4 linked regions of the Bombyx mori genome follow. The protein of the gene in region 1 binds, or shares a complex with, the protein of each later gene. Links are inferred from orthologs where the notes say so. Each region holds a gene or a part of one and is shown in the gene's direction. Other genes may lie near its edges. The genes, in order: condensin complex subunit 1, structural maintenance of chromosomes protein 2, structural maintenance of chromosomes protein 4 and condensin complex subunit 2.

Evidence for each region.
Region 2: condensin complex subunit 1 (region 1) and structural maintenance of chromosomes protein 2 share a complex: the UniProt entries of both Homo sapiens proteins name them as parts of the condensin complex. The link is inferred for Bombyx mori from reciprocal best matches to the Homo sapiens genes NCAPD2 and SMC2.
Region 3: condensin complex subunit 1 (region 1) and structural maintenance of chromosomes protein 4 share a complex: the UniProt entries of both Homo sapiens proteins name them as parts of the condensin complex. The link is inferred for Bombyx mori from reciprocal best matches to the Homo sapiens genes NCAPD2 and SMC4.
Region 4: condensin complex subunit 1 (region 1) and condensin complex subunit 2 share a complex: the UniProt entries of both Homo sapiens proteins name them as parts of the condensin complex. The link is inferred for Bombyx mori from reciprocal best matches to the Homo sapiens genes NCAPD2 and NCAPH.

The regions. Positions count from the first base shown.
Region 1 is NC_085114.1:10,417,620-10,425,732, forward strand, and holds the start of condensin complex subunit 1, read left to right. Parts: upstream 1-1,466; 5' UTR 1,467-1,630; coding exon 1,631-1,748; intron 1,749-1,946; coding exon 1,947-2,060; intron 2,061-2,638; coding exon 2,639-2,811; intron 2,812-3,176; coding exon 3,177-3,349; intron 3,350-3,641; coding exon 3,642-3,783; intron 3,784-3,983; coding exon 3,984-4,079; intron 4,080-4,832; coding exon 4,833-5,000; intron 5,001-5,866; coding exon 5,867-6,028; intron 6,029-8,043; coding exon 8,044-8,113. UniProt on the Homo sapiens protein: Regulatory subunit of the condensin complex, a complex required for conversion of interphase chromatin into mitotic-like condense chromosomes.
Region 2 is NC_085131.1:14,293,479-14,301,307, reverse strand, and holds the start of structural maintenance of chromosomes protein 2, read left to right. Parts: upstream 1-3,532; 5' UTR 3,533-3,674; coding exon 3,675-3,842; intron 3,843-4,233; coding exon 4,234-4,383; intron 4,384-4,786; coding exon 4,787-4,948; intron 4,949-6,519; coding exon 6,520-6,630; intron 6,631-6,917; coding exon 6,918-7,039; intron 7,040-7,355; coding exon 7,356-7,512; intron 7,513-7,829. UniProt on the Homo sapiens protein: Central component of the condensin complex, a complex required for conversion of interphase chromatin into mitotic-like condense chromosomes.
Region 3 is NC_085134.1:4,024,872-4,032,234, forward strand, and holds part of structural maintenance of chromosomes protein 4, read left to right. Parts: coding exon 1-115; intron 116-1,347; coding exon 1,348-1,489; intron 1,490-2,310; coding exon 2,311-2,439; intron 2,440-3,529; coding exon 3,530-3,687; intron 3,688-4,380; coding exon 4,381-4,519; intron 4,520-5,570; coding exon 5,571-5,750; intron 5,751-6,502; exon of another isoform or gene 6,503-6,530; coding exon 6,531-6,713; intron 6,714-7,307; coding exon 7,308-7,363. UniProt on the Homo sapiens protein: Central component of the condensin complex, a complex required for conversion of interphase chromatin into mitotic-like condense chromosomes.
Region 4 is NC_085117.1:9,016,175-9,024,080, reverse strand, and holds the start of condensin complex subunit 2, read left to right. Parts: upstream 1-3,644; 5' UTR 3,645-3,906; coding exon 3,907-4,032; intron 4,033-4,512; coding exon 4,513-4,671; intron 4,672-4,959; coding exon 4,960-5,160; intron 5,161-5,466; coding exon 5,467-5,629; intron 5,630-6,015; coding exon 6,016-6,124; intron 6,125-6,409; coding exon 6,410-6,583; intron 6,584-7,045; coding exon 7,046-7,173; intron 7,174-7,444; coding exon 7,445-7,648; intron 7,649-7,906. Other genes in the region: protein LSM14 homolog car-1, read right to left, coding at 435-848, 2,082-2,202. UniProt on the Homo sapiens protein: Regulatory subunit of the condensin complex, a complex required for conversion of interphase chromatin into mitotic-like condense chromosomes.

The DNA.
Region 1 (8,113 bases):
AGTGGCAAGACAACTCTTAGAATTCTATACGTCAGCTTCCTTGCCTTCTTTGCTGGCGAACGAAAGTTAAACGTCAAGTGACATGTAGGCAACGTGTCAAAAAGTAATACCAGCATAAAAAACTCATAAACTCATAACACAAGTACAAAATAACATTTTTACTGAGTCAGAGTTATGTGCTATAATTTACCGAATTTGAATGGCGTAGAATGATTGTATAAAATAAGGTCTGATGCACCAAATTTGTACAACCATGGATATATTATCTTATAACAATTAGGAGAACCAAGATAACCGATATAGCTTGAAGGAGCCAAAAAGTTATTTAATGTCCACCAATAGGTAGGCCTCTGACAAATTAGACCAACGCCATCTTAAAGGTAATGGAAATCCGTAGTATGCGTGCTGCGCAGATCCGATTATTACTGTGAGGGAGTCCATATAGAGTCCCTTCTTTATTTCACCGTAAAATCATGTTTTACGTAATTAACACCACAGTTGAAACAATAGGAGTTTTATACTTGAAGCGGCATAAACAATTCTAGGTTATTATATTATATTAGTTATTATACACATTATATCTTATTTTTTCGGTTTCAAATTTTTTGGCGGTAAAAAGGTCTTATGTCACAGACTATCTTCTTTTTCCCACGTCTCGTGCGTTCCGGCTTACGCATCATAAAAAGTGCGTTCTTAAACACCAGATATGCTATCGTTCGTGAAGGCCTATCTCCAGCAGTAGACATTTGTGGACTAATTATGATGATCTCGAATAATCTGATATCAGCATTCTTTCAATTTTCAATCAATCAGTCGTGTTTGCTTTTATCTGCGTAATCTTCGAGATGACGTCGGTCGTCTAGTTAGAGTAGTATTGATCACGGTCGTACCTGCTCCCATGTTCTGTCTCTGGCCGGGCTTGGACGCTCAGGTGAATATTGCCAAGGAGCCATCGGGAGCTATAAAAGGGAATTAACTGATAGAAAGCCTCACATTAGGAAAAAACCTACTTTGCCTTTCATTGCCGTCCATGCAACTATTGTGACTATGCATACAAATATTATGTATTGTAAAATTCGAATGTTTTACACGAAAATTTTCAATTGGTTCCAAATTTTTTGTAAACGAATGTTTTCCAAACTTATTAACTGTTTAACAATATTTGCTATGTGTATGTGCATTACTATAATTCTCATGTTGTATTTGTTATTTGAGCTGCTCTACACACACATCACTTTTAATTATTATTCTCATAATCCTCTCGCAAGTCTGCTGGAAGAGATTTCTTAATGAAATAAGCAGTGCCTTTGTATATAATTTTCCTATTACTCTGTACTATGTCTTCTTTTTGTGTGTACATAAATAAATAAATAACTGAAGTGTTCTATTTTTAAAAGTAAGGAACTTTGATCCTGTTCAAATACCTACTTAAATAAAAATTCCAGATGGTCTGTGAAAAAGTTGACATATATGTCATGCACGTCAACTTCACTTTAAATTTGAATTTTGAAAACAAACTGATTTTGTAGGTGCGGTGTTTGAGTTTAGTTTGTAATATAAATAAACCTTTAAACAGCTTACCTTAATAAATGTGATAACATATTTACTAAAATCCTTGCGATAGCAAAACATGAGTCATTTTGAATTTGCTATTCCCTTACAAAAGGACGAGTTATTAGAATCCCATGCAGGACAATATCACGTCGAGGATGTAGTACAACCGCGACTCATGTTGTCGAAATTACAAGGTATTCACTCAAAAATTTGTTATGTTTAAAGATATTAAGTTCATATAATTGCCGAAGCTTTATACGATCCTAATTTTTTCTAAAGTCCTTTAAAATTGGGGCATTGGTGATTTTTACATAAAACATTGTAGTTGTCCAGTTTCATTATTTTACTTATAACCAAATTGATATTTACTACAAATGAAAACAAATTTACAGATGGAGCCCGTGCTTATAATTCTGTAGGAGTTGATTATATACTTGAACATTTTGATACATATTTTTCAATAATTGTACATGGAGTGAAACTGGAGTGGAATGTCATCAACAAAGGTAATTTATGCTTATAGCAAACAAATTATAAATATAACAAGGAACTGAATATTAAATAGTCTTACAGTTTTTTATGGACAATTTGTGTAATAAGATTTTTATTATTTCCATCAATGGCAGTTGAGTATAAAGTGTATATTATGGTACACATAATGGTTAAGAGATACTGCTACTCATGAACCTCATTAATGGGACATAGCAAAAAACGCATATGATCTTATCTAATTTTCATTGATTGGGTCAATATATTATATAGTAAGACATTTTATTTATTTTTTATTTATTGATCTGATCACAGCCCACCTCGTGTTAAGGGGTCTCAGGAGCCCATAGACATCAACCACATTAATGCTGCCACCCACTTTCAGACATGAGTTGAAAGTCTCTGTCGTTACAGTACAATTGCTGTCCCACCCTTTTAGTACCGAAACACATTACTGTTTCACAGCAGAAATGAGCAAGGTGGTGGTACCTGCCCATGCAAGCTCATAAGATACCCTACCACCAGTTAATATATCATAAGATAGGTATGAAATATGATATGAATTACCTATTCCAAGATTAGATTGGGTTTTCAGGCTTTGACCACATAATAAGGGCTGCTAAGAATTTATGCAGTCATTTAGAATTAATACTCCAGGAACAAGAATTGGATGTTGATGTGAGGGTTAAAAATCTAAATATTACTAAAATGATAATGTACCTCTTCACCCAAATAATGAAAACAAAAGACACCAAATTGGCTGCTGATGTGAGTATAATTCCCGCATCATCATTTTTTATTTGTAAAAATAAAGTTTTTTTACTTTTGTCTTTGTTTTATCACAATGTTTGGCCAGACTGAAGAAAGTTATATTTTCGATAAAAAACATTATGAGTTCATCTTCGTGTGTTAAAGTGAGTAAAAGCATTCATGTGGTTTGTTTTTGGCTCTGGTATCCTAGACATCAAGAGGCCGAGGTCACCAAGACCCAGATTAATGTAGTATTTTCTATTTTCATATAAGCTAGATCTATAGGATTTTGATTGCTTTGAGAGATTTTTACAAGTAACAAACAGAAGTGTGGTTTGGTTTAAATCTCAAATGTATACATATAATATTTTTTCATGTCACAGAATTCCACTAAGCTAACATTGGGCAAGAAAGGTAAGAAGGCAACAGAAGAAGAAGAATTATGTGGTTGGACAGAATCTGACAAGCAAGCGGCAATGCTCACTCTGTACTTGGTTACACAACAACCATTATCAAGATTGTGGGACCCTCCATTGGCTGAAGATAATTTTGTTTCGTTAGTATCACCCAAATCTATAGAATAAAATTGTAAATACAAGTTTATGCATTTATCCCTATAATCACATTAACCAATCACAATATGCTCATATTAATCTATTATTTATGTAGACATACATATACTAACACTTGGTGATTGCTTTATTCCAATTGGTTCTGAAAATTAATAATTTAATCTTTTGTTTATGCTAACTGTCAAAGTGAAAAAATTTAAGATTAATAAATGCTATTTCAATAAAAGAGCTTTTGTAGAAAAAATACAATGAAAATATGAAATTAAATACTTTTAGAATGATAGCAGATCCTTGCTACAAAGCACTAGAAGAACAAATGATCAAAAACAAAGCTATAAGAGACACTGTGTTCCAAGTTCTAGGAGTCCTTATAAAGAAATATAACCATGGGACATCATGTCTCATTAAACTCGTCCAGGTATGTATATGGTTTTAAACCTTTTATTCTTACAAAACAATAAGATGCCACTTGGCTATTTCGGTCGCAAAGCAATCACACGGACTTGATTGGAATTGATTTTTTTACTCAGTCATGAACTTGACTACATATTCTAAGTAATAAACAAAAAAAATGTTTTTTAAAAGAACAGTAAAAAGATAAATAAAATTTTATTTCAGATACTTCAAATGGTTGAGCATGCTGTGTCACCAATATGTGCTGGAGTAGTACAGTTGACAAAAGAATTTGGACTTGGTACTTTTGGGCCACAAATGGTAATAGAAAATATATTATTTCAGAATAAATCTTCTCATCTTTTAAAATATGTTGCTGTAACTTTTGTATCTTTTGACTAGAATTCTTTTTTACATAAGGTAACTTAGTAAAAATTATTCTAAGACTTGTAAACTGATATAATCTGAATAATAATAAAAACAAGCAATAAATACGGCTGATCAACTAAAATGAGAAGCAAGGAACAGCAAAAAGGAACAACCATTTTTATGTTATCAATTTCTGCTAGACAAACACAATATGTTTAAGAATATGATCATCAATGTTTAACTGTGTTACAAAAATTTCATACAAACGATCGGGTGGTAATCTCAGTCACCACTAATAACTTTAAAAACGTTAATGACTGTGTATTAGGATCATTATTTTGGATCCTTCTGATCAATTCTTGATGTTTTTAGGCATTTTAAGCACCGTCCTCAGCGAACCCGTTGAATGCGACGAAGGCTTCGGCGTTTAGTTTAACCCACAGACAGACAACTCACTTAATATCTTGCTGTATAAAGTGGTAAAATAAAGTAATAATAGTAAATAACTAAACTAAACACGAATAGACTTAGTAAATTAATATTTTGTGGAGCTGCAACAGAACTCTATACCAATCACAAACCTACGCTATCCTTAAGAAACAACACGATACAGACAATTACTGAGGTAAAAGTTACACCGACTTGGTGCTACTTAACTGCTCCCAGGAATTTAATGACATTGCTTTTTCAACTATACTACAATAGGTTCGTGAAATAGCAGAAGCTCTGGCGTCAACTGAGGAAGAAACAACAGGCACAGAGCAGAGTGCAGCTAGGAACTGTGGGGCTTTCTTATTGGAACTCACCAAAGAACTACCTAAAGAAATGGCCAATGCAATTGCGACATTACAACCATATTTGGAGAGCGATGAGGTAAGATATTAGTCAGTACTTAAACAGCTTACAGATCTGACAAGGTTATTTTAAGATATCAACTATTCCTAACGTTTCTAGGGCGTTTGATGAGGCCTTAGTATAGTTCGGTAGGCAGCGGCTTGGCTCTGCCCCTGGCATTGCAGAAGTCCATGGGCGACGGTAACCACTCACCATCAGGTGGGCCGTATGCTCGTCTGCCTACAAGGGCAAAAGTTATGTCCTGTATTGTTGTTGTATTGTATAACTGATGTTTTTGCGTGATAGAAATTATGCAAACAAGTGGAGCTGCTGGCTCTTCTGCTTTGGACGCTAATAATTAAATATTACATTACTACATCTTAACTTACCCATGTACATACATTTATATCAGCACAGTATTACTGAGGTCGGCCAATTGAAATATCTCTTCATGAAACTAACTTATCATGAAAATTGTGAATTAAAATTAAATTAAATTAAGTTAATCACTAATAGACAATCGTAACAGGATAGCAGTAACAAAATTAAAAAAAAATACATCGGGATGTACAAACGCGGTACAAAAAGAGGGTCGCGTTTCCGATCAGGTGGTAGATTCTTTGGAGCACGGCTCTTGCTAGGGTTCGTGTTAGCAACAACATCGTCAGGTTTGAGCCCCGCGAGCTCACCTACTAGTTCGGTGAATCTAGAATAACCCCTCGAAGTTACTAGAATAGATAAAAAAAAATGCAATCTCATCATCATCATCATCATCTCAGCCTCTCCACTGTCCAATGCTGAACATAGACTTCTCCAAGTGATCCCCAGTGCGGCCGGTCCAATGCTATCTATTGTCCATCAAAGCCAAGGATGTGTAAAAAGAAACTATTAATTTTGGTTGACAGTCATACACGCTCCGTATCAGCGTGCTCGGGATGATGTGCGAGGTGCTGAGCGTGGAGTTGCGCGGCGAGGGCTTGTCGGACGCGCAGCGCATACAGCGCGACGACTTCCTCGACGATTTGTATGAGCACATACACGATCTATCCGCTTATGTACGCCATAAGGTTAGTTTTTTTTTTTTTTACACGCCACGTTAACTCGTCCCTTGCTAAGTTCGTAAAGAACTTGTGTTACAGGTACCAGATAACGGAAATAAATGTAAGATTTTTATTATACACGTACATATATTTAATATACATCCATAACCCTGGAAAAGACATTTTATATTTATCATACAAATATCTTCCCTTGGCGGGATTCGAAGCCGCGACTCCCTTGTGTAGTGACCATATCACTTACCACTACACCAGACGGCCGTCAAGTTAGAACCAAACTAAGCTTTTTGGAAACGTCCTTCAAAGAAGTCATGGCTGTGTCTTTGCTATTACTAAAAAAATCACATCCACATCTTATTTGTAGCCTATAGTTACAGGCATTTGCATTTTTATTTTTATTTTTTTTTATTGCCTTTGCAGCCAGACGGGCATACGGCCCACCTGATGGTGAGTGGTTACCGTCGCCCATGGACTTCAGCAATGCAAGGGGCAGAGCCAAGTCGCTGCCTACCGCTTAATACTCTCCACAAGCCTCGTTTGAAGAAGGACATGTCATAGCGCTCGGGAAACACCGTGGAGGGGAGCTCATTCCATAGCCGGATGGTACGTGGCAAAAAAGATCTCTGGAAACGCACTGTGGATGACCGCAGCGGCTCCAGGTAGTATGGATGAACTCTACTCCGGTGGCGGGCGGTGCGATGGTAAAAACGAGATGCTGTTATCATCTCGAACAATTCCTCAGAGCACTCCCCATGGAACATACGGTACAAAACACAGAGGGAACCGAAGTCCCTCCGCAGACCCAGAGGCTCCAAACGATCCGAGAGAATGGGATTATCGACAATCCGAACGGCCCTCCTCTGTATGGAGTCAAATGGAAGAAGCTAGTATTTGGGAGCCCCGGCCCAGAGATGGGAGCAGTACTCCATGCGAGGCCGGACTTGTGCTTTATAAAGCAAAAGTCTTTGTCCAGGCGTGAAGTACCGCTTCGCTCTGTTGAGGACTCCCAGCATTTTGGACGCCAACTTGGCTTTGCCTTCCAAATGACTCCGAAACTGGACATCGCTCGAAATGTCGACCCCAAGTATCCCAATACTCTCGGAAGGTTGCAGGGATACTCCTTGGAATTGCGGCGCCTTGACAAAGGGGTCCTTCTTCGCAGTGAACGCGCAAACTTGTGTCTTTATCGGGTTGAATTGAACCAAGTTCAATTCACCCCATTTGGAGACTCGCCCCAGAGAGTTCTCCACTTCAGACACAAGTTTTGATCGTCTCTCTTGCACCGCGCTCCGAGAAAGACTCTGATGGCCGATATATCGCGCATCCCCCGTGCTGTCATCCGCATAGCAATGCATGCCATCAATAGACAGCATGTCATTGATATACAGGATGAAAAGCGTGGGGGAGAGCACCGAACCTTGTGGAACGCCAGCGCTAATGGTCATGGTATCAGAACAGTCACCGTCTACAACGACCGTGATGCTCCGCCCATCCAAAAAGCTAGCGATCCACTTGCAGAGACCCTCAGGGATTCCGTAAGATGGTAGCTTCTATAGAAGTGCCCTATGCCAGACCCTGTCGAAGGCCTTCGCGATATCAAGGCTCACAGCAAGAGCCTCGCCCTTGCTCTCATTTCTAATAAAATACTTGCATTTCTAATAAAATCAATCAAACAACCTCTGTACGTATATAATACACGAAGAACAAGAAGTCAGTTTATTGTTAAAAGGAGAACAAAAGAAAAAAAAACCCTATAATTATAGTTTAGTTTTAGTTTACTATAAGTATAGTTTCCCGAGCGCTATGACATGTCCTTCTTCAAACGAGGTCTCGTGGAGAGTATTAAGCGGTATACAGCGGCTTGGCTCTGCCCCTGGCATTGCTGAAGTCCATGGGCGCCGGTAACCACTCACCATCAGGTGGGCCTCGTCTCGTCTGCCTACAAGGGCAATAAAAAAAAGTCATACCGAGTAAAAGTATAAATGACAATATATAAGCATTTGGTAATAAATAATCTTCATAAGGTGCTCCAATTCTGGTGTCGTTTGCAACGGGAGAACTGTGTCCCGGTAAACCGACAACGTACCGTACTCG
Region 2 (7,829 bases), on another chromosome or scaffold:
AACTGAAATCTCAAGATGGTTGGCGGCATTTAAGTTGTTGATATATATATATGGGTCCCGGTAACCACTTAACACCAGGTTGGCCATGAGTTCGTCCACAAACCTAGCAAAAAATATATTTGAATAATGTTCAGGAATGACTTCCACAATTAAGGAAAAACAATTTAAACCTGCGTTAAAATTTAATGTAGGTGAATTAGTACACTATACAAAGACAAGTCTCTAGATCGATGGTGGCATTTACATTTATATATTTCTCAGGCAATAAACCAGTTAAATAGGGATCTGGACTACATATTATTATGTAGTTGGTCAACTAAGTTTGGCTTAACCGTGAATCCAGCGAAATGCCAAGCCATTATTGTGGGTAGTCCTCGTATGGTTCAACGCATAACTACTATATCACTCTCATCAATATTTTATAATGGTACAGTGATTCCCCTAAGTTCCGTGGTTAAGAACCTAGGCCTTTACATAGACTCCACACTCGACTGGAAAGCTCAAATATCTTACGATGGACAAAGAACCTCTGGAATTCTTCGTGCTCTGCATCGCCTCAAGAATTTCTTACCATCAGCGACTAAGACTATGCTAGTACAAGCCTTGATCTTCCCTATAATGGATTACGGTGATGTGTGTTATTTTGACCTGAATGCAGACCTTTTTAATACTTGATCGTCTTCTTAATAACTGCATTCGATTTATTTTTAACCTATTCGTTGTCCCACACATAGTTCTAGTTATGTTCGTAACTCTATCGTCGTGCAATCTGTTCTGCTATGGAATGCGCTTGCTCTTGAGATCAGGACTATTACTAACCGTTGCGCGTTCAAGTTAAGGGTTCGGCGAATGTTGTTCGAAAAGTTAGCGGAATTGTCATTGTGCAGGACGAAACTGATTTTAAATAGTTTTATCGAACAAATACAATTAATATAGTTAATAAGTAATTACGTAACAAAATTGTATAATCTTAAATTATTTAATATGCAATATGTTAGTGTATCAGATCAGAGAATGTGAATAGACCAATAGGAACGATTTGTGGAGCGCTTTCACTACGGTAACATACAGATCAAGGGACCCTCCAAAAGTGGCGCGTCGATAGCGCGTCGCGAGATGGGGTACTGAAATAAATATAAAAGGATGGCCATTTATAGGCAAAAACAGTTCTCAGTGGATCTTCGACATAGAAACATCAGCAAGACAGAAACAGTTCTCAGCAGATCATCAAGACAGAAACAGTTCTCAGCGAATCTCCGACATAGAAACATCAAGACAGAAACAGTTCCCAGTGAATCTTCGACAAAGAACCATCAGCAAGACAGAAACAGTTACCAGCAGTTCTCCAATAGTACAGTTATCAGAAAACCACCAGTGAATCAGCTACCAGTGAACCAGACAGTTACCTGTGAAACCTCGCTACAGAAGCCGAAACCCATCGAAAGAAACAGCCGTCTTCTACCAGCGCACAAACAGACAGCAGAAAATATTATTACACGACTCGGAAACAGCCATACAGACCGGGTCGTGTACAGTCATGAACTTATTAAGTCGGAGCACGTGGTCGAACTCGACTGTGGACGACGGGGGTGCCATACCACCGAACATCCTCCGGTGTGATAGCTCCCTGCCGGAGATCTGCTTCACACAGTATGCAGTCAGGCGGGAGCTCCGACTCCTGGACGTCTATAAGTCGAGTGGGCCAGACTGCATCCTCGCAGTGGTTCTGAAAACGTGCGCCCCTGAGTTGACACCTGCGCTAACGCATTTGTATCGCCTCTCTTATTGTATCCGTCTTCATGGAAGACCCCTTCACGTCCACCCTATCCCCAAGAAGGGCGACTGGTCGGAGCCATCGAGCTATAGGCCTACCGCGATAAGTTCCTTACTTTCCAAGGTGATGGAGCGAATAAAAAATGCACAACTCCTGAAGTATATGATTTTCATCCTGTATATCAATGTCAATGACATGATGTCTATTGATGATATGCATTGCTATGCGGATGACAGTAAGGGGGATGCGCGATATATCGGCCATCAGAGTCTCTCACGGAGCGTGGTGCAAGAGAGACGATCAAAACTTGTGTCTGAAGTGGAGAACTCTCCGAAGCTAATCTCCGAATGGGGCGAATTGAACTTCGCTCAATTCAATCCATTGAAGACATAAGTTTGCGCGTTAACTACGAAGAAGGACCCCTTTGTTATGGCGCCAAATCCAAGGAGTATCCCTGCAACCTTCCGAGAATACCTGGATACTTGGGGTCTGTCCAATTTTGGAGTCATTTGGAAGGCAAAGCCAAGTTGGCGTCCAAGATGCTGGAAGTCCTCAACAGAGCAAAGCAGTACTTCACGCCTGGACAAAGCCTTTTCATCTCTGGGCTAGGGTTACCAAATACGAGCTACTTCGATTTCACTCTATATAGAAAAGGGCCGCTCGGATTGTCGATAATCCCGGATCTCACGGATCATTTGGAACCTCTGGGTCTGCGGAAGGACTTCGCTTTTCTCTGTATTTTGTACCGTATGTTCCATGGGGAGTGCTATGAGGAATTCTTTGAGATGATTCCATCATCTCACTTTTACCATCGCACCGCCTGCCATCGGAGAAGAGTTCATCCTCGCTGGGTATCTTATTCTGTTTGAGATATAGAAGCACTATTTCTTGATATCGATGCTATATGATAACAGCTTTATTAAAGACACTATTGACTACATTCTAGCTCACGCTCGTGCAAAAATCAGCCACTGTCATTTACATCGACAAGTCCTAGTAGATCCATCCGCCCTGCTTTCGATTTGTTGGACATTAGTTCTAATGCTATACGATTACGCTATAATGATACTAGTTCATCGGGCGTTTTATTCTTTGGGCTACAACTTATAAAAGGGTGAGATTTAATGTCTGAGTTTGTAGACTTTTTGGAAGTTGTCAAGTCCACGTCCACGGCCGAAGCCACGGCCTATGATTTTTTTTGCGCTTATGAACTTTCACTACATGGTTAAAATACTTCATTTTCTGTACTTACTACAATTTATTTTAGTTCGAATCAGAATCTATTACATTTGAATCTGAGATGTTATCTATCTTCTTCTTCTATATATATAAAAATGAATTGCTGTTCGTTAGTCTCGCTAAAACTCGAGAACGGCTGCACCGATTTGGCTAATTTTGGTCTTGAATTATTTGTGGAAGTCCAATGAAGGTTTAAAAGGATAGATAAATATGAAAATGCTCGGAATTAAATAAAAATAACAATTTTGTTTTTCCTTTGATGTCCCCCCCGCCGCGCGCCGGACGGATTCCTTTTGTTTGTTTTAAATTTATTTTCTTCAAAGGTTTAAGTCTTTTATTTATTGATAGAGGCACTACGAAGTCTTCCGGGTCAGCTAGTATGCAATAAAGAAAAGAAAAAGAATCGGTACACTTATAATTTTTTACCTCTTTACCATATTGTTAATCTAAATCGAATTAAAATCTTTAAAAAAAATGTTGTCGAGAAAAATATAATGTGTCAATGTCATTAATCAATGAATGTCAAAAATATTTTAAAAACACAAATCAATTTTGATTTCATAAAAAAATCAACGGCTTCTCTAACGCTTGATGAATTCGTATGAGTTTAAATTTTTAATGAATTTTCTTGTTCTATAACTGTTGTTTTTATGATCTGAACATGTTTATTAAGTCAATAGTGTTAGATGGCTTCAAGTCTTACGGAAACCGAGTGGAAATTACTGGATTTGATCCAGAATTTAATGCGATCACTGGTCTAAATGGGACTGGAAAATCAAATATCTTAGATTCTATATGTTTCGTACTTGGAATCACAAATTTATCGAATGTATGTTGTAGTTTATTATTGCTAACAAAATAACAACTGTTGCTGATTTATTTCCCGCCAAATACCATTCACTGTTAAGGGTTATGGCGATATAGTAGCAGCGTTTATTCATGATAATATTCAATTACCTATCAAATATGCGACATAAATCCTATGGGCATCAGAATACATGATGACTTGAAAATAAAAACATACACTTTTCAAGTTCTAGTACAACAATAATATCGATTGATGCGAAGTAAACTCGACAATGATGTTTTCTGCTTCTTTCTGGGTACAATTATAAATAATATGAATATTCCAACAATAAAACATAGTTGCTTCTTGGTCAAAATGCTTGTTTAACAAAATTTGTGCCTAAATTATTAATTAATTTATTATAAAAAAATAGGTACGAGCAAGCAGCTTGCAGGAGCTTATTTACAAGCATGGGCAGGCAGGTATCACCAAAGCAACAGTTAGCATTACCTTCGACAACAGAGATAAGAGACAATGTCCGATTGGCTATGAGAATCATGATGAGATTACTGTCACTAGACAGGTAAGACATAGTTATATTGGAATAGTAATTAGTAATCAACAAAACATCTAGAAATTGAATAACCATTTGCTAAGTTTCCAGGTTCATGAAGCTTCCATTAAATTACTTTATTAAAAAGTTCCAAGAATACAATAGTTCCAAGAATATATACATGATTAATAAATCAATATTCAAATGTTTGAGATGACATGATTTAATACATCATTTACAAATCATTCGATCAAGTAGCTTGACTTTTACTATTAGCAAACCAAGCTAAATTTCATAAGCTTTGCTGAACAAAACAAGAAATAACGTATAGCATTCAAAAGTTATATTTCCTCATCCAAATTTGCTTAATCAAACTAATATAAAGAACATGCTATTTAACAATTATTGAAACAATTTGAAAAATAAATTTCAGGTGGTGATGGGTGGTAAGAATAAATACCTTATAAATGGTATCAATGTCCAAAACAAGAGGGTCAGTGACTTATTCTGTTCGGTTCAGCTTAATGTCAATAACCCACACTTCCTCATCATGCAGGGAAGGATTACTAAGGTGCTAAATATGAAACCTCCTGAGGTAAGCCATACATCAGCTTCAGCAGTTAAATTACTTGTATGACCTTAGTAAATAGTGTTACGAACTGAAGTTCTGGATAAAATAATTATTTCTTACTAGCTGACCAGGCAGACTTCGCAGTGCCAAGACCTAAACTTTTGTATAAAATAAACTTAAAACAAACACAAGGAATCCGTCCGACGGGGGATACATCAAAGGAAAAACAAAATTGTTATTCTTATTGAATTCCGAGAATTTTCATATTTATCTACCTTTTAAAGCTTCTCTGGACTTCCACAAATAATTCAAAACCAAAATTAGCCAAATCGGTCCAGCCGTTCTCGAGTTTTAGTGAGACTAACAACCAGCAATTCATTTTTATATATATAGATAATCAAAAACATATATAGATTATGAATCAAAATCATCAAGTCTAATTACAAAATACTTTGATTAGTACTTTGATAAGTATAGTGACTGATTTCACTATTATGATGCATTAGATTGCATTCAAATCTTGTCTTGGATATGACTTCACTTTAAGTCGTATGATTTTTCTCACTCCTCTGAATGAAATTTAATCTTTCTAAAAGCGTGTGCACTGTAATTTCTAGTAAGGTCTTAATTGCTTTGTGATTTTTTTCTTTCTCTGTACTGTGTGGCATTAGTTGTATTGTATGTTTGAGCTATTTGTGATGATTAAAATATAGGTAGAGACATACAGCCTTAGTAATAAATGTGGTGTAATATCCTTATGCTTCCCAATTCGTGCCATCGTAGGACAGAAAATATTTGACAAATTTTGAAATCACACTAATGGCATTTTCAAAAGAAGCTTTGCATGTGTTAAGCCAGTTACAAACAATATTTGGACTTTTGGTGTATGGAACAAAATTATCTGCTTGGTGGAAGATGTTTCTTATATTGTTTTCCCTCAAACACTTACTAGCCACAATATCAGTAAACTTGAGATCTTGTCTTCTGATATGGAAGATTTCCATTTAACCTTGCTCTGTGGCTGCTGCCCAGCCATTGTTGGCCCTAAGATAAAAAAAAAGCTGTGAGCACAAGAGTTTTATATCCACAAGACAATGTTGATGCTACCACTCTCCCTGAGAACTGAAGTTGAGCTGGCAGTACAACATCCCATGAGCTCGTATAGGTATGTATCACCACTCTGCCTATTTTTGCCTTGAAGCAGTAATGTGTTTCGTTTTTCAAGGGTGGGGCAGTAATTGCACACTGAGGCTTGGATGCCTTTTCCCACGGTGGGTGGCGGGGCTCCCGTATCCACTTAAAGTCAGATGGGCTGTGAGCTCAATGACCTATCTAAGTAATAAAAAAAGGCAAAAAACCTGTGCTGTAATTGTGTTTGACATCCTTGTGAATAAATGAAATGTAACTAATTTAGCTGATCTAATGATTACAAATTTCTTCTAATAATTATAAAATACAATAAACAATAAAAAGGCCATAAGAACATGAACATGGTAAATTGGCACTAGAGACATTCATGTTTAGCATTGGCATCCAATAACCACATTGCACTGAAGGCTAAAATATATACAGCTACAATACCACTTTTTTGTTAGATATTATCAATGGTAGAGGAAGCGGCAGGTACAAGAATGTATGAAGCTAAAAAACAAGCAGCACAGAAAACTATTGAGAAGAAAGATGCAAAGCTCCGGGAACTTAATGATGTAAGTCAATTGTACAATTTTACTGTCACTGCACACTGTACAAATGTCGATTCGTTTTAAAGCATAATATGACACAAATAAAACTATTTTATCACTTCATCAAATTAGTAGATTTCTAGGACTACTTAGGTGGACTTTCAGAACTGCCAATACTTTTTTGAATAAAATAATGATTTTGTAGAAGGGATCACAATTAATCAGATGTAAATTTTTTTGAACTGAACTAAAACTTCTCAGAAAATACATTAAAAGAACTGTTGTGGCAAAATTGTTTCTGTTCAAAATAGATAATAAGAGAAGACATAGCACCTAAACTTCAGAAGCTGCAAGATGAAAGATCTCAGTTCCAAGAATATCAGAAGGTTGTCAGAGAATTGGAGAATATCACCAGGCTGTGTGTCGCTTGGAAGTGAGTATGGTCATTGCCTAAGTTCCTAGTCGCCACAGGACTGCGCGGCCGCCCGTGTGCCTCCCTGTTCAGTGTAACACAAAAATGTCAGTATGTTGAGTACTTCTTAGTATGTTGAGTACTTCTTTCTTTCTGTTTTAAATACATTAAGAAAAGAAAACAATTTTATTGAACATCTCTCTCTACAGTATACATGCACAAGTGTCCATAGTATGTTTATTACCTTCCCCTTCTAAACCACTTATTTACATGATAGAACAAGGCAATATTTTAGCACATCATAGTCACGAAAGTTAAAACGATATCTCCGTTACAGGTATGTTTCTGCTGAAGAGCAAACCAAAGCAGCAGAGGGAAAAGTCACGCAAGTGCAGGACGACATTAAATTGAAAAAAGAGACTATTAAAAACAATGAGAAAGAAATGAAAGAGCTGGATAAGCAAGTTGTTGACTTAAACAAAAAACTGGATGAGGTAAGAGACAGCAGTAAGTCGTCGCTTTTCGTCCGTGAGTCCAGCCCCAGAGCGGGGCTCTTGTCGCATTCTATGCGGTCCGGTGTGAAGGGATACACTTGAGACTTGCACTTTATGTCTGGATCTGGAGCAGAATTCACATAGTAATGGTTATTGGAACTGATATCCATTGTGCATTAGGCAACCATGAGTGCGTTTAATCCATAATTTAAGGAATCTGCTATCAATTCGTGTCGTTATTATTCATCGGATGATGTAGTTAGCTGATAAAGTTTAGACTTTTTATATGTAAACCACTAATCATTTAATTATTGTAT
Region 3 (7,363 bases), on another chromosome or scaffold:
GCGGGCGGTCGACGATGCGCGGTCGTATGGGCAGCTCGGTGCAGCAGAACACATGCGAGCTGGACCCCGCGGCCGTGCAGACCAGCGAGAGGAAACTAGCTGAGCTCGAACAGAGGTCCTTATTTTTTTTGGAGCCCCGGAGACCTTTCCAGTTGAAGAGGCGAACTTCGCTAACGCCTCCGAAGAGGATCTTTTTTTTTATTGCCCGTGTAGGCAGACGACTATACGGCCTGATGGTGAGTGGTTACCGTCGCCTACGGACTTCAGCAATGCCAGGGGCAGACTCAAGATGCTGCTTATCTGACAGCTCAAAGGCCCAAATTGCGACACGCTGAGAAGATAGGAACTCAGCGGGCTGATGTATGAGTTAGGCTTCACGTTGAACCCTTTGACAACCAAACAGAGACCAGAGTACGACAGGGTTAGGTCAGGGATGTTCATTTAAAATATATATCGATGTTTTTTGCGATGCATCAGTCGGAGCGGTGGCATAGATGTTTTGCGATATATCGATAAAAAAAATTTAAGAACAAGTATATGTTGAAATTCTCTTTTCAGTATTGTAACAACTAGTTATCCACTATGGATTAACCTAAACAATTCAAAATTTTAACTTGCAGTGAAGTATGAAGTAAAAGAGCGGTCGACCATAAATTATACAGTCTATATCATAGGCAAAGGAATATTGTGATACTGAATCCTAGTCTTCGCAATATTAATGTCATCTCATTATTACTGAAAATTTTAAAAATAAACCGTTAGATCAACAATTATTATGGAGATATTTATTCGATATATGGATTGGAATACATCGATATATCTTAAAACATCGAATATAACTGATGCATCGAAATGATATGACACATCGATGTATATCGAGCGTCCCTAGTTTAGGTATACGCTTACAACACAGTTTTTTTTTTTAAGTGATATTATGATTTGGTCCTTTAAGTCATGTCTCATTTTATTTTATATTCTTATTTTTATAAAAAATGATGATATGGAGTGAAATGAAATGAAGATGATTAATTTGAGACATTAATCAACTGGGATCAAATGAGATGAGATGATATGGGATGAAATATAATCTCAGTAAAATGGTGGTCATTTATTGAAATTTTTTCAGTGGACTTTTTGGAGGATCCCGAGAAGTTACGTCCAGCGACTTTGTTTCATTTTCACACATTTGTGCACTTTCACAGATATTAAACAGTTAATAAACCATCGTTATTACACATTTAAACCCGAAGAAACACGAAATAGACAAAATAAAACAAATCACACAACTTCACTCCTCGCGTTCCCGCTAAAAAGTCGTTTTGTTTATAATTCGTAATACATTTACAGATTATCTGAATTACGCAACGAGCAGTCAAACGTAGAAGAGTCTTTGTCTGACTTGCAAAGAAAAGCCAAAGAGGGAATGTCGAATTTGAATAAAGTTAAAATTGAAGTGAAGAGCTTGTCACAACTGATACCTGAATTGGAGGTGAGAGGGGATGCCAGTACCGACCGGTACTAGGGAAACTGTTGCTATTGCTGTAGGGAAATTGCTGAAAAAAAAACGGTGCGGGTGCAACTTGGTGCACGTGAATGAAGTGACTCTTCTTTTTCGATGTGTAGTATTGTGGTTTTCTTCATTTTACATTCTTAAATCAGATTGCTCTTGTAATAGGGAATGCTGTATATAAGAGATGCGATAACATTTATATTATATACACTAGCTGACTCGGCAGACTTCGTGGTGCCTTAATCGATAAATAAAAGATCTAAAGTTTTGTATAAAATAAACTTAAAACAAACAAAAGGAATCCGTCCGACCGGGGACAAACATCAAAGAAAAAACAAAATGTTATTTTTATTTAATTTCGAGCATTTTCATACTTATCTAAACCTTCTCTGGACTTCCACAAATAATTCAAGACCAAATTTAGTCAAATCGGTCTAGCCGTTCTCGAGTTTTAGCGAGACTAACGAACAGCGATTCACTTTTATATATATTATTATATATATTTTAAATTATAGATTGTAAAAATAAATATAACATCTATATATTTAAATACTTCATTAAAATATTGGAGCTACTCGTTGCTAACGCTCGCCGGGTATACTACGCGCGTACGTTCGAGTGCCGCGCGTTCACTCTCGCTGTCTCTTTCTAGTATAGTAGCGTTAAACGTTTAACGCAACCTTGTTGGAAGTCGCAATAGAAGTTTGACTTCAAAAAAAAAAACTTGGTGCGGTGCCGGTGGATAGTACCACGTGGTTTCTCCTCGTACCGTGGATGTTTGAATTTGGATGTAATTTCAGCAACAAATAAAAGCGCAAGAACGAAGAGCGTCTTCGAGTAAAGTGGACCAGCAACGTAAAGCCGAGCTGGAGGCTGTTCTGCAAGACGCGCAAGAGAAACTGTATGAGGCCACAGGAAATGCTGCAGAGGTACGTCCATGGAATTTGTTTGGGAAACCTCTCGTGTTGCCCCTCCATAAGTTTATAAGAACATCTGAACTTTGTTGTTTAGTTGCTCGTAAATGAAGAATTCCTCGTATTTGTATTTGTAGTTACGTTGAATTTCGTATATAATTCTAGCGATAATTCTTTGGCATGATGAATGTTACAGATTACATATTATATTGTATAAGTATACTAGCTTTTAGCCCGCGACTTCGTCCACGTGGAATAGTTTTTTTTTTTATTGCCCTTGTAGGCAGACGAGCATGCGGCCCACCTGATGGTGAGTGGTTACCGTCGCCCATGGACTTCAGCAATGCCAGGGGTAGAGCCAAGCCACTGCCTACCGCTTAATACTCTCCACAAGCCTCGTTTGAAGAAGGACATGTCATAACGCTCGGGAAACACCGTGGAGGGGAGCTCATTCCATAGCCGGATGGTACGTGGCAAAAAAGATCTCTGGAAACGCACTGTGGATGACCGCAGTGGCTCCAGGTAGTATGGATGAACTCTACTCCGGTGGCGGGCGGTGCGATGGTAAAAACGAGATGTCGGTATCATCTCGAACAATTCCTCAGAGCACTCCCCATGGAACATACGGTACAAAATACCGAAGTCCCATAGTTACTTTGTATAACGCTAAATTTTACCCGCCTCTTCATTTACGTAGAAAGTAAAAATATTTTTGAATAATACAATGTTAAGGAGCTCTTTAAGGTACCCAAAATCACGCTCTTTAACCGACTCCTAAAGAGGAAGTTATCAATTCGACCATAATTTTTTAACCCCGATTCTTTCAACATTGTTTATTGGTGCTCCGTTTATATTGGTCCTAGCGTGATGTTATATAGCCTATAGCCTTCCTCGATAAATGGGCTATCTAGCACTGAAAGAATTTTTCAAATCGGACCAGTAGTTCCTGAGATTAGCGCGTTCAAACAAACAAACTGTTCAGCTTTATAATATTAGTATAGATAAGAGACCACGATTTGATTATCTTCTCATCAGATTTTACCTTAACTGAGTAATTGAATCCATAAAAAAAATTGTAAAGCACGCGTCAATCGTTATGTTGTAGGTCGAAGAACAAGTTAACGAGGTGGAGGCGCAGATATCGAAGATAGCCGGCGGCAAGGTCAAGGACCTACAGAAGAAGGTCACTGAACTTACGGCGAAGATCGATAAGATCGTGACTGAAACTACGAAGCTGAAGGTCGCGATCAGCACCAGCAAGCGGTGAGCGATGACCTCCTAGTCACAGTTAGTCTTGGCGCAGTGTTGCACCACACCGTCCCCCCGTGGGAGCGAGCGACGTTCATTCTCGTGTGTCCCCCCTACCGCCAGTGATTGACTTACACAAATTTTAGAAATGCCAAAATTTCATTCCTGTGGTAGGACCTCTTGTGAGTCCGCACGGGTAGGTACCACCGCCCTGTCTATTTCTGCCGTGAAGTAGTAATGCGTTTCGGTTTGAAGGGTGGGGCAGCCGTTGTAACTATACTTGAGACATTAGAACTTATATCTCAAGGTGGGTGGCGCATTTAAGACAGTCTGTAAATAGTCGTATGTCCTGTAAAAGAGGTTGCACGCCACGACAGATATTACACTTAAGACATATTTAGCCATTACTACAAGACTGTCTGATGGTGTATTTATGAAATTTTAAGAACGCAACAACTTTCTTATTAGTAAACAAGTTAGGAATATTTCTGATGGATAATGTAATTAGCAAAAAATACATATAGTGTTTATGACGTCACTGTCATTAAAACAAAGATGTGCGAAAGAGATGGGGAGATTCACTATCCAATCAGTCTCTCATTAAATCCAAGCTCAAAACATAAACAAATATGCCATTTTAGATGTAATCTTGTAAGCGCATCTTGTCTGATCAATTGTGCTTTTACTAAAATTTGTATTATTGAACAGGAATGCAAACAAATCGAAAGATAAGATCAATCAGATGGACGCAGATCTCAAAGAAACTGATAAAACTCTAGAAAGTCTGAAAACACAGAAAAAACAACTCGTTTTGGACAGCGAACAATATCAAAAGCAATTCGAAGAGGTGTGTACGGTTACAAATATTACTTTTCTGTTAAATGCCTATATACGTGATCTTCTTTGGTAGTAATTTTGGCTATATTTATATATTACGAGACAACTCCTTAGTTCTTATCTTATCACCTTGCTTCTTGCTTGTTTCGGTGAATTTGGGTCTGGACTATAAAAGGACAGTTTTTGGACTGTTCGACTTCGCCCAGCACGTAGGCGGAAAAAAGACCTACTTTATATTCTGCCAAGTATATAGTTGTGAGAATTGAGATCAGAATTCGAGAAATCGTTTTGTTGTCACATAAAGTGAACAGTTATTGAAAAGATGACGTTATTGAATTATTGAAACTAGAGGACCCGCAGTAGTCGAAATTCGACTATAACTAATTGGAATTGTAAGTTTGTACACTATTACGATTGTATTTTATACTTCTATAATCACAAATTTCGCCAAGACTACACTATAAAAAATATTAACAAAGACAAACCATATTCTATTCTCAATTTGACAAGACGTCAAGAACAAAAGTTTGACAATAAATAGTATGCATGCGTGTGTGCGTCAAATACATGGTATGTAGTGTGTGTAATCTTTTCTTTATTGATTTAATGTATCTTTTATGCATTCTTTAAAAAAAATATTAGCATTGTGCACTTCTTCTCTATATTCTCTATAAGTGAGGAAAATTTCATACTCCTCTGTCCGCGCAATTTTCGTAAAAAAGGATACAAACTTTTTGCTTCACGTATTAATATATAGATTGAAGTTTTATTTGTGCCTACATTTATTGCATAATAGCACGGAGACTTTTATATATTCGTATCTATATTAAAAAACAAAGATTCAACTTCAAAGGAAGAAAATACTCGTAAAGGAGTAATAATATTTTGATATATTATTAGAACATTATACAAAGAAGTTTATAGGGTTATTAATTACATATTATATTTTGTATAGTGGTTAATTAATTGCATACTTCACCATAATTCGACAACCGACCCACATCCTAATATATTCATAATGTTTATCTTACTTCTTAACATGAGGAGGATTATCATTGCAGTTGGAGGAGGAAATCAACGAGGGCACCAGTGAATTTTCAGAGCTTAAACAGGAGATAGCGAAATTACAATCGAAAGAAAATAAGCTGAAGAGTGAGCGTTTAGAAGCTGCCAATGCTGTTAGCAAAATGGAGAAGTCCGTGCTCGACTGCAAGAGCAAGATCCCTCTGTGGGAAAAAGAGGTGGGTAGTTGTTTTTTTTTTTTATTTCTACTGCAACTCAGGACTTTTTGGCGGGAACGCGAGGAGTGAAGTTGTGTGATTTGTTTTATTTTGTCTATTTAGTGTTTGTTCGGGTTTAAATGTGTAATAATGGTTGTTTATTAACTGTTTAATATCTGTGAAAGTGCACAAATGTGGGAAAATGAAACAAAGCCGCTGGACGTAACTTCTCGGAATCCTCCAAAAAATCCACTGAAAAAATCTTAGTAAATGACCACCATTTTACTGAGATTAAATTTCATATTTCATCTCATTTTTTTTATTGCCATTGTAGGCAGACGGGCATACGGCCCACCTGATGGTGAGTGGTTACCGTCGCCCATGGACTTCAGCAATGCCAGGGGCAGAGCCAAGCCGCTGCCTACTATTTAATTTCATCCCAGTTGATTAATGTCTCAAATTAATCATCTTCATTTCATTTCACTCCATAACATCATTTTTCATAAAAATATGAATATACATTAAAATAAGACATGACTTAAAGGTCTCAGTTACCAGGTCATAAAATCCCTTAAAAAAACTGCAACTCACGTGGTTGAGTATCCTAAACTCAATATAATATATACTCAACTGATATATTATTTTATATATTTAGTGATATTCGCCAAGAACATGTATGCTAGGTTTTATTAATTATTAAAAATAAACAGTCACTTTACAATTTAAAATGAGTAGAGCTTTCTACTATTTATTGATCACTAAATCATTTACTATACCTCTAATTAATAATTTTGTATTCAGCTATCAAGTCTAAGGTTAGAAGACTCGGGATTAGACGGCATCCCTGGGGTGGAGAGGCCGGAACCGCTGCGTCAGCACACCCCCGAAGAACTGGAGGAGAGTTCTGTGGATGATCTGAGGAATAAACTGGCAGCTCAGAAGAATAGAGTGGGAGATAATAAACCTAACATACAAGCGATACAGGTCAGAATACTGTTTTAAATAATGTATTCAAATTCTTATGAAAATACGGTAACATTTAAAAAAAGCATTTTAACACACTTAGTATTTTTTTTTATTGCTTAGCTGGGTGGACGAGCTCACAGCCCACCTGGTGTTAAGTGGTTACTAGAGCCCATAGACATCTACAACGTAAATGCGCCACCCACCTTGAGATATGAGTTCTAAGGTCTCAAGTATAGTTACATCGGCTGCCCCACCCTTCAAACCGAAACGCATTACTGCTTCACGGCAGAAATAGGCAGGGTGATATAAAACTTATATGACGAAATTTTTCAATGAAATTTTCACCATGTTCAAGATGTCTAATTACCCTGAAAAATTTGCATACGTGTCAAAGAGAAGAACCACTATGATACAAAATAATCATTTCTTTTATTTCGGCTTTGCTGTTAAAGCATTTATTTATTTATTTCACATGATGTTATTATTTTAAAAGTTGTAACGATTTTTAAAGTCGTTTCGATCCTAGTTTTTTACCTCAGTGGCGGTGGGCGCAAATCACGATCCACCATTTCTTCACTTTTCCTCTTGTAAAAAAACCTTGTTGTATTTCAGGATTACAAAGCAAAAGAAGACTTATATATAAAGCGCGCCGCCGAATTGGACGAGAT
Region 4 (7,906 bases), on another chromosome or scaffold:
AGTATACACAAACATTTTTACAAGTAACAGACCAAGGAGCAGAAGCTTTTAAAAGCAATTTTGTTATTTACATTGAAAATCATGGTAGACTTAAGGAATATAAAGGTTTAAATTTAACAATTAAATTAATATGCTATACTTATTGAACCATAAAACATTTATAAGCTCTCTGACGTTAATGCCAGACTATAAAAGGCCATTTAGAAAGTATGATCTACACAGTAGAACCTTTATGTAAAGTTTAGTTTTATTTAGAGAAGCATAGAACAATTCTTTTGAATAATTTGTTGACCTTATTAGTATTACTGTGTCACAATTTTGTTCACATCAAGATGCTACCAAAATTTATTATGTTAGCTACAGATGATATGCTTTGTGTTTATATAATAAGCAGTAATGTTGAAGCTCAAGCTGAATGCTCATTAAAAATAAACCTTGGTCTTTCACTTGGTTGGAGTGGTGGTTCACTCCAGAACCAATTGGAGCCGTTACAGGCTGAGCTTGTGATGCCAGTTCCACAGATTGTTGAGGAGACAACTCACTCGTCTTGTTGAGCTGGTTGTGAACTCCACTTGGAAAGCCAGCCATTGGATGATACTGAGGATATGGAGTTTGTCCAACAACTGGATGGTTAAACTGCCCCACATACTGCCCAGGAGCTGGTCCAGTACCCAGAGTTGGGGGTACAGACATCTGCATAATGGCAGGATCATTGGGCATTGAAGGAACATTATTTAGCACCCTGATATCCTTGATGTCAGAACCACGGAACAGAATGTAGTCATATACTTGGCTTTGAGGTGCTACCGGATATTGAGTCTCTCGATCCTCCGTGCCAAATGAACGCACTAAAAGAAAAAATACAATAGTTAGTAATCTGTTTTCTTTGAAAATTAACTATGACGTAAACTTTACACTATATACTATTATTTAATTTTTTTATATACATCTTCTTGTGCATTGTCCTGGTCTTCAACCGTGTATGTTGTTTTACCATAACCAATCATGATAAAACAACATACATATACTAATTCATTCCAACTATTATCAAATCATATCTAATCCATTTCTGTATCCACAATAGACATTTACTAATTTTTGAGGCATAATTATATTGCAAATAATGGTTACCCCATGGATATCAAGCTACGCATGCTAAATAACATATACAAGCCTGTAAATACACCATCAAGAGCTGTATAAGATGATTGGAAATGTATTTCATGCTTGACTTTTTTCAAGCTTCAATAACTACTAAACTTCAAGATTGATTTTGTAATAATTTTAAATTTACAACTATCAAATGTAAAAATAATTTTTCCATTTCAAATTATTCCCCTTTTCTGAATTATGATTAAAGCTCATGGGACTATGAAGAGAAAACCAACATATTTAAATTTTATATTATCTAGTATGGACCCATTACATGTTTTAGACTGTGCATTGTACAGTATATGTGGAAATGTAGCTCTCCAGAGGATAAAAGATGTATTGTTTAATTAATTTAAATTGAGTTACATACATTACATTTATAGTAGGTAGACCAAAATCAAATGACTAATATGAAACTTATTAGAAAATAGATTATCGGATATTTAATCTTACAAGAATTGAAGGTAGTTAGCATATGATTTTCAAGGTCAACGGTGTATATTCCAATATAACATTTTTTTTTATTAAATATAGCTAGTCATTCAGACGTTTCATACGACGTGTTCAATGTAACAATTGTTATATACGGTGTACGGCAAGAACAGTTTACAACGTCACCAATGTGTAAACGCAATCAAAGGCACATTTCTATTTCATTTAAAGAGGGTAGAAAAAAAAATGATGTCCTGCAAGAATCAACTTTTTATCTTATGACGATTTCTTCTATCTATAAAGTTTAATTTTCGTACAGGTGAACTTGGATCATACGGAGGGAAAATCTTAGCACTTTCTCGAGTACTTACGATTTCTGGCGAATTAATGATGAAACGCGGTGTTTTAGAGACATTACAATATTTCACGTTTACATTAACTGCAAACCAATAGTTTACATAAAAATTTAAAGAGAAAGAATCCATTTTTTAGCTTACCGCTAGCCAAGGCGATAGTACATTCCTGAGGATCGACAGTAAAAAGTCGGCCTTCGTAACGAATGTCAGCTTTCGATATTAGGCTTATTTTGGAGCCTAATTCAGGCATTCCAGAACTCATTATGTCACTTTGCTTGACCGATTTCGATGACAAAGATTTTCGACGATTTCAAAGACTGAAAAACTATCCACCGAATAAATCAGAACAAACAACAAAATGACTGACGGGAAGTTGGCAACAAGCGCAGCGTTTACAAACAGCCAGTGTTGCCGAATAAATTACAGACTCGCATAGTCTCACAGGCGATCCATAGATTATACACTACAATTTGCTGACTTCGCGCCATATTATATCATGTGGATTCAATTCACCCGAATTCGTGTTCACATTTCTTCGCTACCAGTAAAACGTTTGTAGTAGGTGTAGAAATTATAAGATCCAAAATTCACATTCACAGATCAAGAGTAGAACGGAAATTGAAGGTATAGATCACAGGTAAAAGTATACGACATTAAGTTAGTAGTTGTAAGCACTTATTAACTCCATGGCATACAAAAATATATAGATTTATAGGGTTTAAGTATTAGTAATAAACATAATTATAGGTATATTATAGGTATACCAATGCGCATATTGCTTATTTACACAGTTTTTAAGTATGTACCTACTTTAAATATATATAATTATCACTGACCATTATGTTTTTTCTGCAATTGGACTGGTAAAGGAGGAGTATCTAAAATTAAAAAAAAATTGAAAAGCGCTGGAAGAAATTGTTTAAGATGATACTATCATCTCGTTTTTACCATCGCACTTGCCGCCACTGGAGTAGAATTCATTCATACTACCTGGAGCCACTGTGTTCATCCACAGTGCGCTGCCAGAGATCTTTTCTGGCACGTACCCTCCGTCTTTGGAATGAGCTCTCCTCTACGGTGTTTCCCGAGCACTATGACATATCCTTCTTCAAGGCTTGTGGAGAGTACTCAACGGTAGGCAGCGGCTTGGATCTGCCCCTGGCATTGCTGAAGTCCATGAGTGACGGTAACCACTCACCATCAGGTGGGCCGTATGCTCGTCTACCTGCGAGGACAATAAAAAAAGTTAAGTAATTGTACTATTTTGCTAGGGCTTCTACAGGCTTAAGCTTAAAATAATGGTTAATGACTAACCATTTAGCATCTGTGAAAATGCTCAAGACTAAGTATGGGAATTAAAACAAAATCTCAAAAAGTGGCTTCTCTTCTTCCAAAAAGTTAATTGAATTCTCTGAATTCCCAATTAATCAACTTTAATTCAGTTTACCTCATTTCATTCAATTTTATCCTATAGTCTAGTTCTGATATTCAACTTATTTTTAATTTCGCTAACTTTTACTTTTTACATAACTAGCAAGACTTGATTTCAAATCATCATTAGCTCACACATATACACGGCTAGACATAAGCCAAGGTTCACCATAATGATCAGACTACCTGTATCTAACGGATTCCATAACAAAATTCCAACAGGTTGTCGATCCATCTTGTAAGGCCTGACCACACTGAATAAACGTTGTCCCAAAATAACATAAAGTTTTGGCTGTATTGTATGAGCCCTTAATTTTTTCTGTCTAAAAAAAAAAGATTATTATTGTCAAAACCGCAAACTTCAAAATAATCCTACCAAACAATTTGTTTAAATTTCCAAATGTCCGTTGAGTTTGTAATTCTTTCTTTTTCGTGTTAGTTGAATACAAATTTCACTTTATGTTTGTTTTTGTAATATACTTGTGTAATTATAATCGAAAAATACGAATATAACTCAAGACGATTGAAGTGGAAAATGATGGAAAATCCTTTAACTTCAACGCCTGCCTTATCCAGGATTAGTATTGGCGGGAGCAGTAACACTTCAATTAGAAGACGTAGTTTGATACCTCAAAATAGAGTGGCCAATTCAAGAAATGAGGTGAGCAAATATGAATGCTTCAATTATTTAAAGGCAGTGGCTGTATTTTAAATCGTGCATTAGTTATAAAAATTACAGAGGACAAGCTTAAAACTAGATTTTTTTTTTATTCTTGTCACATTCTATTATATTAGGTTTTTAATAAGTAATATGAAGTTTTGATTGTTAATACACCAACCATAAAATAACAAGTTTTCCGCATGTCTGAATAATCCAAAAATTGTCCAATGATACTAAAACAATAAGTGTCTAGGTGTATGTTTTGATTGCAAATATATTTTGTTTTCTAGATTAAGTTTATCAATACAAGTCTAGCAATACTTCCTCACACTATATAAGAATGTAATCTAGCAAATTTAAAAGTTATTATTATTTATTAAATTTAAATTTAATGTTGTAATTATTAAAGTTTTAAAACATATATTTGGTCTAAAAGTATAAAAATCTTTTTTCCGTAATATAATCTTTGTTAACAACTAGGAGTGCAATGATGATGATGCTGAAAGGTCATCACTTGTGGCATCAGATCGCGTGGTTGCATCTACCCCACAGGCATCTCCACGTCGTGGAAGGGAGACTATGTCTTCATCACCACAGAAAGAACATTTCCAAGGTTGCCTTAAACTTTATGCAGAAAATGTAAGTTTGCTGACAACTAATTGATGAGATAATAATAATATATTCTAAGGAATTGAAATAACAGTTCAAAAACCTTCTCACATTTATGTTACTTTCTCATATTTATGATTCAGAATTGACTTATTATCACGGTAAGTGTAAAATATATTTGCTTTAGTTGAGTTGAAATAAAATTCTAAAGTGATGAAAATGTATTGTAAGATTACTGCTAATTTGGTTTCTTAATAAAATTAAATATATTTATTGATTATTTATAAAGTTTTCTCAACGATTTTCTTTGTTTCACAGAAAATAACAAAAGACAATGCATGGAATCTACAATTGATAGATTTTATGACTTCCATGCTTCGACGTCACGATGCTCGTATGGATAACTTGCAAACTGCTTCCACTGTGGTTGATGCTTCTGCTAGAATATACTCATTCAGAGTTGATGCCGTGCATTATGATGTACTTAAAATGGCTGGTGGTTTAATTAAAGCTGCTCAGGTAAACCACTGTTTACTAATACTATTTTTACTCTTGATTGACATTAAATGTATAGTTCCCATTGTCATCCTGCACCTGATCTGGACCGTTTTAAGGTATTTAGGGTATTTTCTAAAAGTGACTTCATACCATCATCACAATTAGCTCTGTAACCTAAATATTTGATTCGAAAGATACTAAATTCAATCCAGTAGTCCTTTCACCTTGTTCTCAACCAAATGAATTTCTCATTTACTGTTATTGGTGGAAATGATAAACTACTACCGTAAAATTAATTACAATTATGCAATAACATCTTTATTCCAGTCAAAAAGAGGCAAAAAAGATGATGAAAATATACAAGACGAAGGTGCATTAGATGGAGATGTGAATGCTGCACCCATTAAGAAAAAAAAGAAACGATCTAAAGGAGCGATAGCAGCAAATCCAGAAGTTTTTAATGGTGATTTCGACATCAATGACTGTATAGGTAAGTTTGTATACCTACATGCTATCCCCGTGCGTTCCAGAAGGCTATCCATATGCATATTACCAAAAATACAACAAAAACGTAATTAATGAACCTATGAGTTAATAAAATAAAATTTTAAAACTGTGTCTACATATTATTTCAATTATACAATTTTAGGATAAATGGAATTTAGATAATTCCATTTATCCTAAAATTGTTTAATTTAATCTCATATGCTACAATTTTATTCTTAATGAGTGATTGGACCTTATAAGCCACTATGATGAACACAGGTGTCTAGATAAACACTAATTACAATTTTAAATATTCTTTCTCTAGTAGGCTCATGGGTGCTGATAGAAGTAGTTTGTAATTTTTTTTTAAAAACAGTGTGTTTTATATAGATCCATTTTTTGAGAGGCTGGCCGCAACTACAGGAGATGTCACATCATCAAATAGAGCGTTCAATGCTACATTACCAATTCATGACAAAACTCTTGCGCTTATTCTGAGGTAAGAGTAATGGAAGGAGTTGATCATTGTGTTTGACTAATTCTCATTAATGTTAAAATCTAAATGCTTAATATGGTTTAGTTGTATAGTAATTGAAGTATTTAAAAAAATATTCCAACAGCCTAATTTTAAGTAAAAAAGTAAAATTTGATTCATCCAATGTAAAAGAAATTATATATAATTAATTACTTAATTACTCTTAATTGCAAATAGTATTCAAACAAAAACTTAAAGTGATGTATTATTTTTTGGTAGCATGCAAGATTTGTTTGTTTCATTATGCAGGACCGACACCAAGTTTTTAGAACCTGTCAAGGAGAACATCCCTGAAGAGTTGGACTTGTCACACCGCATCACCCTCGCCGTAAAGTTACTGCCGCCGTTTTTAGAAACGGATGCATTATGTGAGCCTTTCACGGGTTTCTCTATAAGCAATTGGGATCCGGATACCGAAGACAAGTTAGTGCCATAATATATATGCTGAATGAAACATTTGGCTATTTTCTAAGAGTTCCAACCAACACAAGGGATACAATTCTAAATCTAAATTTATCAGACATCTCATGGTCGAGCGCGCGCATTGTGTCTCGGCGATAAATTTTTTTTTTTTTATACATTTGGGTATAGTATCCAATGTTGGACTTTAGTATAACAATTTTATAGGAACAATTTTTGTGAATGCAACTTTATTTTGCTTGACATGTTTTGAGGATGAAATCTACAAATACCAAAGTGTAGATATCAGACACTGATACAAAATGATTAGCTACGCATCATATGTGTTGTGCAAAATTATAATTTAGTTTTAACATTAATTTATTGATTGTTTTAATAGAAGTAGATTCTATAAAAATAAAAAATGTGGTTTTGTATATTGTTATGTTATGGGTATGGTTAAAATAATTCTTATAAATTTTGTAGTGGGGAAAACAGAGTGACAAATTGGGTGGAAGAGAACAGATTGAATCTATCACAGCAAGCCTTGGCTTTTGATGTCAATGCTGAAGTGGAGCCGATACCTCAGGATGACTTACACAATGATTTGTATGGTGAGTTTTGCAAACTGTACAATAAATGTTGTTTTTCAACAACACCTCTTGTGAGTCCGCACCGGTAGGTACCATCATCCTGTCTATTTCTGCCGTGAAGCAGTAATGCGTTTCGGTTTGAACCATGGGACAGCTGTTGTAACCATATTGAGACCTTTAAGGTCAATAGGTAAGGTATGTTATAGGTCTCTATGGGCAGTGAGCTCGTTCACCCATCTAAGCAAAAAAAAAAAGATCGATGCGTTTTACGAGTAAAGGTTAACGTTTGCAGACGATGAGCCGCTGGGAGGCGTGGAGAGCGGCGAGGAGGCGGACGCGGCCGTGGCGGCGTGCGTGGCGCGCGTGGCCCTCCCCGCGCCCCGCCTGGCCGACGCGCGCCCCTCCGCGCCGCACCACGCGCGCCTCGAGTACTCCTACTGCTCCCTGGCCGCCGCATGGGCGGGGCCCGCGCACTGGAGACTCAAAAACAACAGAGGTTCTTAATTCTACCTATCTATAAGGCTACCTTCGCACGGGCTATATATTCAATTCACTAAATATTGAATAAATATATGTCTGAGTAGCCACATTTATTAACATCATCGTCAGAAATGGTAGGGGCGAATAGGGTGATCGAGCTAAGAGAATTAATGAGCACACCAATCACGTTTGTTAGAACGTCACGTTTGTTGTTATTGTAGTTGTTGTCTTAGATCAATTTAGAAATCTTCTCTTGGCGTTAGCGAACGAAAAC